2 linked regions of the Oryctolagus cuniculus genome follow. The protein of the gene in region 1 purifies or fractionates together with the protein of each later gene. This does not show direct contact. Links are inferred from orthologs where the notes say so. Each region holds a gene or a part of one and is shown in the gene's direction. Other genes may lie near its edges.

What was found.
Region 2: the proteins of SDC2 (region 1) and CAMKV purify together in Homo sapiens (affinity purification with mass spectrometry; 3 studies listed by BioGRID and IntAct, counting the BioPlex papers as one, with this or other methods). This does not show direct contact. The link is inferred for Oryctolagus cuniculus from reciprocal best matches to the Homo sapiens genes SDC2 and CAMKV.

Annotation. Positions count from the first base shown.
Region 1 is NC_091437.1:122,168,860-122,173,112, forward strand, and holds the end of SDC2 (syndecan-2), read left to right. Parts: intron 1-1,261; coding exon 1,262-1,397; intron 1,398-2,295; coding exon 2,296-2,459; 3' UTR 2,460-3,566; downstream 3,567-4,253. UniProt on the Homo sapiens protein: Cell surface proteoglycan which regulates dendritic arbor morphogenesis.
Region 2 is NC_091441.1:99,387,117-99,391,378, forward strand, and holds the start of CAMKV (caM kinase-like vesicle-associated protein), read left to right. Parts: upstream 1-1,247; 5' UTR 1,248-1,394; intron 1,395-2,349; exon of another isoform or gene 2,350-2,566; intron 2,567-4,262. UniProt on the Homo sapiens protein: Does not appear to have detectable kinase activity.

The DNA of each region.
Region 1 (4,253 bases):
AGCATTAACCATATGACTATTAAGTATACTATAAAAAAAAGATCATTGTAAAAATTAGGAGTAGGAATTCGAGAGGAAGGTGGAGGAAGAGTTGGAGCATGGGTGGGAGGGAATTTGTGGGGAGTGCTGCTCATGCACCTGGGAAAGCAGCAGAAGATGGCCCAAAGTCCTTCGGCCTCTTCACCCATGTGGGAGACCCGGATGAAGCTCCTGGCTTCAGCCTGGCCCTGCCCTGGCCATTGCAACCGTTTGGGGAGTGAACCAGCCAATGGAAGATCTCTCTCTCTCTCTCTTTCTTAAAACTCACTTTGGAAAAAATAATTCTTAAAAAAAAAAAAGAACAGAAAAAGAAATAGACTCCAAGGGAGAAATTTAAGAGAATAGAGACTCTCTTAAATTGATATGGGAAAACATAAAATATGAAATGTGCTAGAGAATAATTAGTTCCCCCACCCCCTCAAATATGGTCCCATTAATGGAACTAGAAAAGAGAGCTGATCTGATTGAGAAATTACTTTTTAGATTTGACATGTAGGGTGAAAAGTGATACAGCTGAGGGTAAATGTCTTGTGGGCTGCTGGCCAGGTAGGAGTAAAGGCTGACTGGAGATGAGGCTGTGAGAGTTACATAGATTTATAGTTTTGTATTGTGGAACTTCCAAAAGCCTGAGAATGTCCTTAATTATTCAGATGAGGAAACTGGTGCAGAAAAGTAGAATGGTTTGGTCAGAGTCCCACAAGAGCTACATGGAGAGCCCAGGTCCCCCTGAAGTTCTTGTCCAGGCTTCACTGAAGGTACAGGACTAAGTAGTGTAAACCTTTACAGAATAAGACTGAGGGGGCCTCTACAGGAACTATCATCACACTGCTGTGGGGAGCAAAGACATGAAGGAGTAAGGAAAATTAGCACCATGCAATTGGATTAAAGCAGCCAAAGGGAGACGCTAGCCTGAAGTCAGAGGAGTGGCAAGAAACTAGAGATCATAGGAGATGTCAACCAAACAATGTCATTGGAATTATGATAAAAATCACTGGCCGTCCATCTTGCCTGTTCATGTGATGGGTGTCGTGCAAATCCATGGCTCCTTGAATCCACCTTGGAACTCACACGTTGGAGTAAACATCAATGAAGTGATTATTCCAGTGACTTCCTAAGTGCATGACTGGAAGAAAGGGATCTCCAGAATCTAGTCTTCTGGTAGCCCTTTCTTTCCAGCATATGCTTAAAAATTGATATAATGTTTCTCTTTCTCCCATCCCAGTCACCGGAAGAAATTGATAAGGAAAAAGTTCACCTCTCTGACTCAGAAAGGAAAATGGACCCAGCTGAAGAGGGCACAAACGTGTTCACCGAGAAACACTCAGACAATCTGTTTAAACGAACAGAAGTCCTTGCAGGTGAGTGGCTGGTGGCCATCTGGGGACAGGCTGAGTAAGTGATGTTCAGAGGGGCGGCCAAGCTTGCTGAGTGGCACCTTCCTGCTGAATGCAGTCTTGAGAGCCCTTTATTGCATGGTGAAAGATTTGGCAAGCATCCTGTTTGTCTTCTACCAGCAGCATCACCCATTGGGTAGGAGTGGAGAGTGGGAAGTCACAAAGAGGAAAGTTAAGAACTGAATGGTGCAGAACAGCAGGGCATGGCAGGTTGGCAGGATATGAAGACCAGTCAGTCTTGCTTCAGGTCATCCTGATTTCAAAATAAAGAGAAAGATAAAGGTCTTCGGGAGTGGAGGGCACAAGTGGGAGGTGGTTGACAGAAATACAACCCAAAGTGTTAAGAATGTTGACTCTATATGTAGCCTGCATAAGTACTAACACTAGGTTTCAAAGGGGAATATTTGCAAGATAAAGCAATACCTAATCCTTGGAAGGATAGACTCAGAAGCCAGACTAGAAAGAATTTCCATGCTTTTTTCATCTTTACACTTAAAACTTTTGAGTCAATGATATCCTGTGTTGTGTTTCACTGAAAAAGCAGTGGGGTGATGGAAATATGAAATGTGAATACTGAGAAGATGACGGCATTTTAAGTGCGGGATTAGTTGAGGTCACAGGCAGATTTTTCTTATTGAAGCTTTTGGGTAATACTAATACTAATCAAAGAAAGTATTGTACCTTCCTGAGGAGTGTCAGATTTGCATAATTACCTGGTTACTTTACTGAATCCAGTTTTTAAAAAAGTTTAGATTTTCAAATTAAGCCTTTTATAAAAGTGTAAATAGATTGGGCTTGACAAAGTAAAGTTCTGCAGCCTTGAATCTCTTCTAAAAGCAATCTTTCTTCTGGCATGTTTCAGCTGTCATTGCCGGGGGAGTCATCGGCTTTCTCTTTGCAATCTTCCTTATCCTGCTGTTGGTGTATCGCATGAGAAAGAAGGATGAAGGCAGCTATGACCTTGGAGAACGCAAACCATCCAGTGCTGCTTATCAGAAGGCACCTACTAAGGAGTTTTATGCATAAAACTTCCACTTAGTGTCTCTATTTGTGAGATCACTGAACTTTTCAAAATAAAGCTTTTGCATAGAATAATGAAGATCTTTGTTTTTTTGTTTTTGTTTTTATTTTCATTAAAGAGCCATTCTGGCACTTTAATGATAAAATCCCATTGTATTTAAAACTTTTCATGTATTTCTTTAGAACAACATAAAATTAAAATTTAACATCTGCAGTGTTCTGTGAATAGCAGTGGCAAAATATTATGTTATGAAAACCTTCGATGTCCATGAAATTGGTTTAAACTTTTATGTGCAAATATGAAAAGATTGTTTTTATACTATGGATTGAAGATGAGAGCTGTTTTTGTTTGTGTCAGCATGTCTGGGATTGACCTTACCAAGTGGGTCTTATTTTGTTAATTTATCTGTTGTCCCCCTCTTTTCCTCTGCCCTGCCCTCTGTCCCCTTAAAACCAAAACCAAATCCTATGCCTTTTGTAGCTGTCATGGTGCAATTTGTCTTTGGAGAATTCAGATAATGGTAATTTAGTGTATATGTGATTTTCAAATATGTAAACTTTAACTTCCACTTTGTGTAAATTTTTCAGTGTCAGACTGTCCATTTTACACTTGCTTTATTTTTCATTACCTGTAGCTTCAGGCAGATTTGCAAGAGCAAGTTAATGTGTAAAATTGGATTATTACTACAAAACTGTTTAGTCACATCTGTCCAATCAGATCTTCTCTTGGGAGGATTGGATGGGAGTTACTCAGCAAATCCAAAGATGCTAACAGTATTTTGAGAAGTTGCTGCAGATTTCTTTGGCCACTGTATTTGTTAATTTCTTGCAATTTGAAGGTACGAGTAGGGGTTTAAAGAAAAAACCAGTTTTTGTTCTAAAAAATGCATTTAAGTTGTAAACATCTTTTTAAGCCTTTGAAGTGCCTATGATTCTATGTAACTCGTCGCAGACTGGTGTTAAATGAGTATATATAACAGTTTAAAAAAAAAGTTGGTATTTTATAAGCACAGACAATTCTAATGGTAACTTTTGTAGTCTTATGAATAGACAAAAATTGTAATTTGGGAACATAAAAACTACTGAATAAATCATGTGGCCTCATATTGAAAATGTCACTGTTATACATTTTGTACATTTTCGATCAAATGTACAACTCCCCGTTGCTAATGAATGTCTGCCCTCGAGGATGATGTGGGTTTGATTTCTAAGTGTTCCATGGTGTCTGTAAATCAAAACCAAAGAGCCCATCAGTGAGGCTGCTTATTACCAGATTCACTTCTGGACTGGCCGGAGGAAATCTGAGTGTATCATCCTCTGTGTGTTTGGGTACAGTTATGGGAAGGCTACCAGGGAATTTTGAAGTTTACAACCTTTATAGGATAGCTGATGGCAATGTTGAGACAGATGCCTGCTTTTGCAAACCACGCTGAAGACCATAAATTCCAAAGAATTGCAGGAGACTTTCTGGAAGCCAATCTCTGACAGTCTCACAGACTGATTTACCTTTGAGCCTGTGCTCCAAATCTCTCCTGAAGCTTAACTGAAGAACGAATAGATGGCATACCATAGCTCACATTATGGGGAAGGAGAGATGGCAGAGGAGCTCTGTGGCTTAAATGAGGGCCTTGCTGTGTAGGAGGGAAGTGACTGGGAAGAGTGATGCCTGAGGAGGAGGTGGAAGTGTGAGGGCACCTTGGCTGGGCACTTACCTGTACCGAATATTTCCTTTTGCTGTTTTACCTTTAATTTTGTTTTCAACTATGAGCCACTGTAATAGGAAGAAGACAGCAAAAGCAG
Region 2 (4,262 bases), on another chromosome or scaffold:
AGTGTAAGAGAGCACACACACATACACGTGTGCATGCACACCCTACCATGTGCTCTCACCCACGTGCACAGAGTGTGCACGGAACCCAGAAGAGGTGGAGTACTGCCAGCAGCAAGCAGGGCTCCAGTGAGCCACCCCTTCCCCCTGCCTTTCCGTCCCCATCTCAGCTTCTCCTCAGCCCCACTGCCTGGATAGCATGACTCTCAGGAAAGAAAATGTGTGTGTCCTGTGTGGGGTCAGCAAACCATGGCTTGGCTGTGCCATACAACTCACAGACCCATTGTTTTCAGAACAGTGGGCACTTGGCAGGGAGGGCTGAGCGCCAGGCCACTCATTCATTCTGCAGACGTTAGCTGAGCGTGGTGAGATGAGGTTCCTATCCAGCCACGGGGTTGGTGCTGTGATCAAGATCACCCAGAGCCCACGCTGCCCCAAGGCAGACACAACCTGGCCCGGAGGAGATGACCCAAAGCCAAGGAAGGCTGTGAAGGGGGCTTCTCACTGTCCCTCTGGAGGAAGGCTTTGAGTGGCCTTGTTGGGGCAGCCACTTCCCAGGCTAGCCTTCCAGCCTCAGGACCAGCTTCTTCCCTGGATGGTCCCTCCATCAGCAGCCGTGTGTCGCCATGCAGGGGAACATCACTCTGCAAAGAGGAGGGTTTGGGAATGACCCTGTTTCTTCTCATCCCAAGGCAGAGGCAAAAGGCTCACTGGGTGGGGTTGGAAAGTGTGGGGAGCAAACCGGACTAGACTGTTACTGGAATTAAGGCTTATTCTATGCATCTGCTCTCCCACAATATGGCGCTGGGAGAGAAGTAAACAGCTTCCGCACAGCTGCCTCCAGTTCAACCAATTAACTGTAGGACTTGCTCCTGATTGGAGAGCAGCGTACTCGGCGTGTGGGCAGCCGAGTTGGGATTGGCGGAGGAGGACTATAAAGGAGGAGAGAAACGGCATGCACCGGGGAACATTTATGGGGAACATCTAAGGGAACCCGTGCAGCCCCCGAGAGAACCGGCCGGCGGAGTGCCGCTCCCCTGCGGAAGTGGGGAATGTGGCCAGGGGGAACTGCCCTTCCACGGAGGTGGAAGGGATAGTAGCCAACCCGGGAAGAACCAGCAGAAAACCCGGGGAGGGCCGAGCAGACGAAAGAACAGCGCAGGGTCCTGTGTTGCTCCTCCACGAAGAGGGGGAGCGACAGGAAAGGACGAGCCCAGCTCCAGACATCGAAAGAGCCAAGTCCGGCCTTTGGACTCTGACCAAAGGATGGTCCTCAAGGCTTGAGAAGACTGGGGCAGGCACTGGGCCCAAGTGGACCCAGCGCCTGCCTGGCAGAAGACAGATCAATGGCCAAGGATATCCTTCAAACTTTCCTCCCAGCAGATCTGAGCCTCCAGGTAGGAGACAGGCTTGGTGAGGCATGGTGGTGCCACAGTTCTCCTGTGTTCCCGTACCGTAGCCCAGGCCACTTAGGAAGCTGCTGTTCTTAAAGTGTTAGAGGGTGATTAGATGGGGAGGAAAGCAGTCTGTGTCACATCATATGTGACTTTCATAGTTTGGGAAATTCAGTGTCACAAAAGAGAGGGCAGACAAGGCACCTTTTTTTAATTTGTTCATTTGAAAGGCAGAGAGAGCGAGAGAGACCTTCCACCTGCTGGTTCACTCCCCAAATGCTCACGACAGCCAGGGCTGGGCCAGGCTGAAGCCAGGAGCCAGGAACTCCGTCCAGGTCTCCCACGTGTGTGGAAAGTACTTGAGCCACCATCTGCCGTCTCCCAGGGTGTCCACTAGCAGGAAGCTGGGCCTGAAGCAGAGCTGAGACTTGAACCAGGCGATGGACATGAGAGGCTGGCATCTTAAGGGTGACTTAGGTGCTGAGCCAAACGCCTGCCCCTGCCTGTGACTTATGATTGGGAGACTTTGGCTTGCAAGAGTTGGGGGTAAGGAAGATAGAAGGCTGTGCTACCATACAGGGTTACATGCTGCCCACTTGCATATACCACGTGTGTTTACCACTCGTCAGGGGAGGCCCCTGTGTACTGCCCAGTGACTGTCCATGCAGTCCCTCTACATGCGACCTGCCCTTTGAGTCAGGAACCCTCCGAAACCCCCACTCCCCCAGATTACTGCCTGCCAAGATTTAAGTGCAGCTCCAAGACTAAGGCTTTCTCCCCATTCCCACCACCCCCGACCCCGGCCCTGGGCGCCAGGAGTCCAAGGGGCTAAGGGAGCTGTTGAGAGCCTGGCTGGGGCTGGGCAGGCCAACGTTCACCAGCTCTGAGGCTAGCCAGTGGGCGCCTGCCCTCGAGTGGGACTCCAGCCTCCGGCTCCTCCAGGGTCGGGGCGGGGCCGGCTGAGAGGCCCCGCCCCCAGCCCGCCCCCGGCCCAGGGTGCGAATCCGGTGCGGGCGAGCGACTGGCGATGCTGGAGGTTCGTGAGCCAAAGCGGCTGCAGCTGGCGCCGCGTCTGCCCCGCGTGCCCGGAGCGGATTCTGCCCGCCGCCCACGGACCCCTCGGCGCCCTGCTGAGCCCGCGATCCTTTCCTCCCTGTGACCAACCGGCGCTGCAGGTGCGAGGCGGGCCCGGCCGGGCTGGGGTGGGGTGGGGGGGTGCCTCCTGGATGCATGCTGTGGGATTTTGGGGAATTGTTCCCCCGGCTCCAGGTTCTGGGCGCAGAGTGCGCGGGGGAGCTGCGAGGGTTCGAAGTCCCCGCGGGGGCAGAACGCGCGGGCTCTGCAGATCCCGGGGGCGGCGTGCGGGGTCGGGCTAAAGTTCCTCATTGCCTCGGACGGCTCCAGGGCCCCAGGGGAAGCCTCTGCGGCTCCGATTGTAATAACATTTAACCCTCGAAGATTCGTGGTGCCCCGTGAGGGTAGGGGCCATGAGCCGAGCCGTCCCTCCCCGCTCCCTGAGCCGCTCCGGCCCCTCCCAACTGCCCCCGGGTCCCCTCCCTCCCGCTTAGCAGTCACTAATTTCCATGACAACGGAGAGTTCTTTCTGGGCGACAACCCGGAGGGGGCTGGGCGGGGCTGCTGCGGGGTGGGGGAGGAGGCCCCAAGACCCTGGGGACTAGCAGTCCCCTAGCCACGATCCGGTTTTCCAGCCTTCACGTGAGGGCCAGCCTGGGGGTCCAGCGCACCGACGCACGTGCGCGGTTTCGGGGGGAGGGGCGCACATGTTCCTGCTGGGAGCTGCGGGCTTGGTGCTCACACGTGTGCCTCCCGCATGTGTGTTGCTGTGCCAGCGGGGGCGAGCCAGCAGCACTGAGGAAGGGGGTCAGGGTGGCGCCACGGGGAAGAGCAGGGCCCTAGGCTGGTGGTGGTGTGTAGGGAGGGGACAGATAAAGCCCTGAACTTCTGCCCTCCCCAGGCTGTACTGCCTGGTAGAGACCCTGGGCTCTTGAGTCCCACTCCCCACCCCCAAGTAGCTCTGACAAATTGCTTTTGTCTGCACCCCCCAGGCAGAGTCTGCTCTGCCAGGTTCCTTCCTAGGAGTAGGGCCCGCTGTCCCTCACCAAAACCTGAGCCTGCATTCATCCATCCCCTGGGCTGCCCCTCCCAGATGCAGGTATTGAGTCCCCCAGGCCCACCATCAGAGACCTGGCGCCCTCCACCCCTGCCAGCTCCAGCATCTGAGACTCAGTTTACCCCACTGGGAGGTTTGTGTGTCCCCTTCCCTCAGAGTCCGGCTGCTCTCCCCAGGGTGGGGCTAGGGTCCCTTCCATTCCCTCTGAGCACAGGCGCCTGGGCTGGCCCCTCAGGGATCTGCAGCCTCCCTTCCTCTCCACTCCATGCCTGCCCACACTCCCCGGCAGGCAGGCAGGCAGGCTTCCACCCTGGGAGGCCGCAGGGTCCCTGATTTCTGTTCGGGGAAACTGAGGCATGGGGACGGGAGGGGTGATGTGGTTGTTCTGCTGTTTCTGGGTTGCTTAGGGAGCTGTTTCTGGCCCTCCTGGTAGGGTGGATGTGACAGGATTAAGCTGAGCTGTAAGAGAGGCTCTGGGGACCTCGGGCCTGAGAGGATGGCAGATGGTGGGTCTTGACTGGGCCAGCTGAGAGGAGCGATGGATCCTGAAGGAGTCTTCATCTCCATCCTCCATGCTTGTGCCTTCGACACGTTGGATGTACCCTAAGCTGCCGCAGTGGCAGGGAGAGGGGTTGGGGAACCGTCCTGACCGGGGGGGCTGCAACAGTTGGCTTCTTCCCCACCAGGAGAGCCCAAGAAACTGGCTGCTTTTTGGCTGTGCCTCCCACACCAAGTTCAGT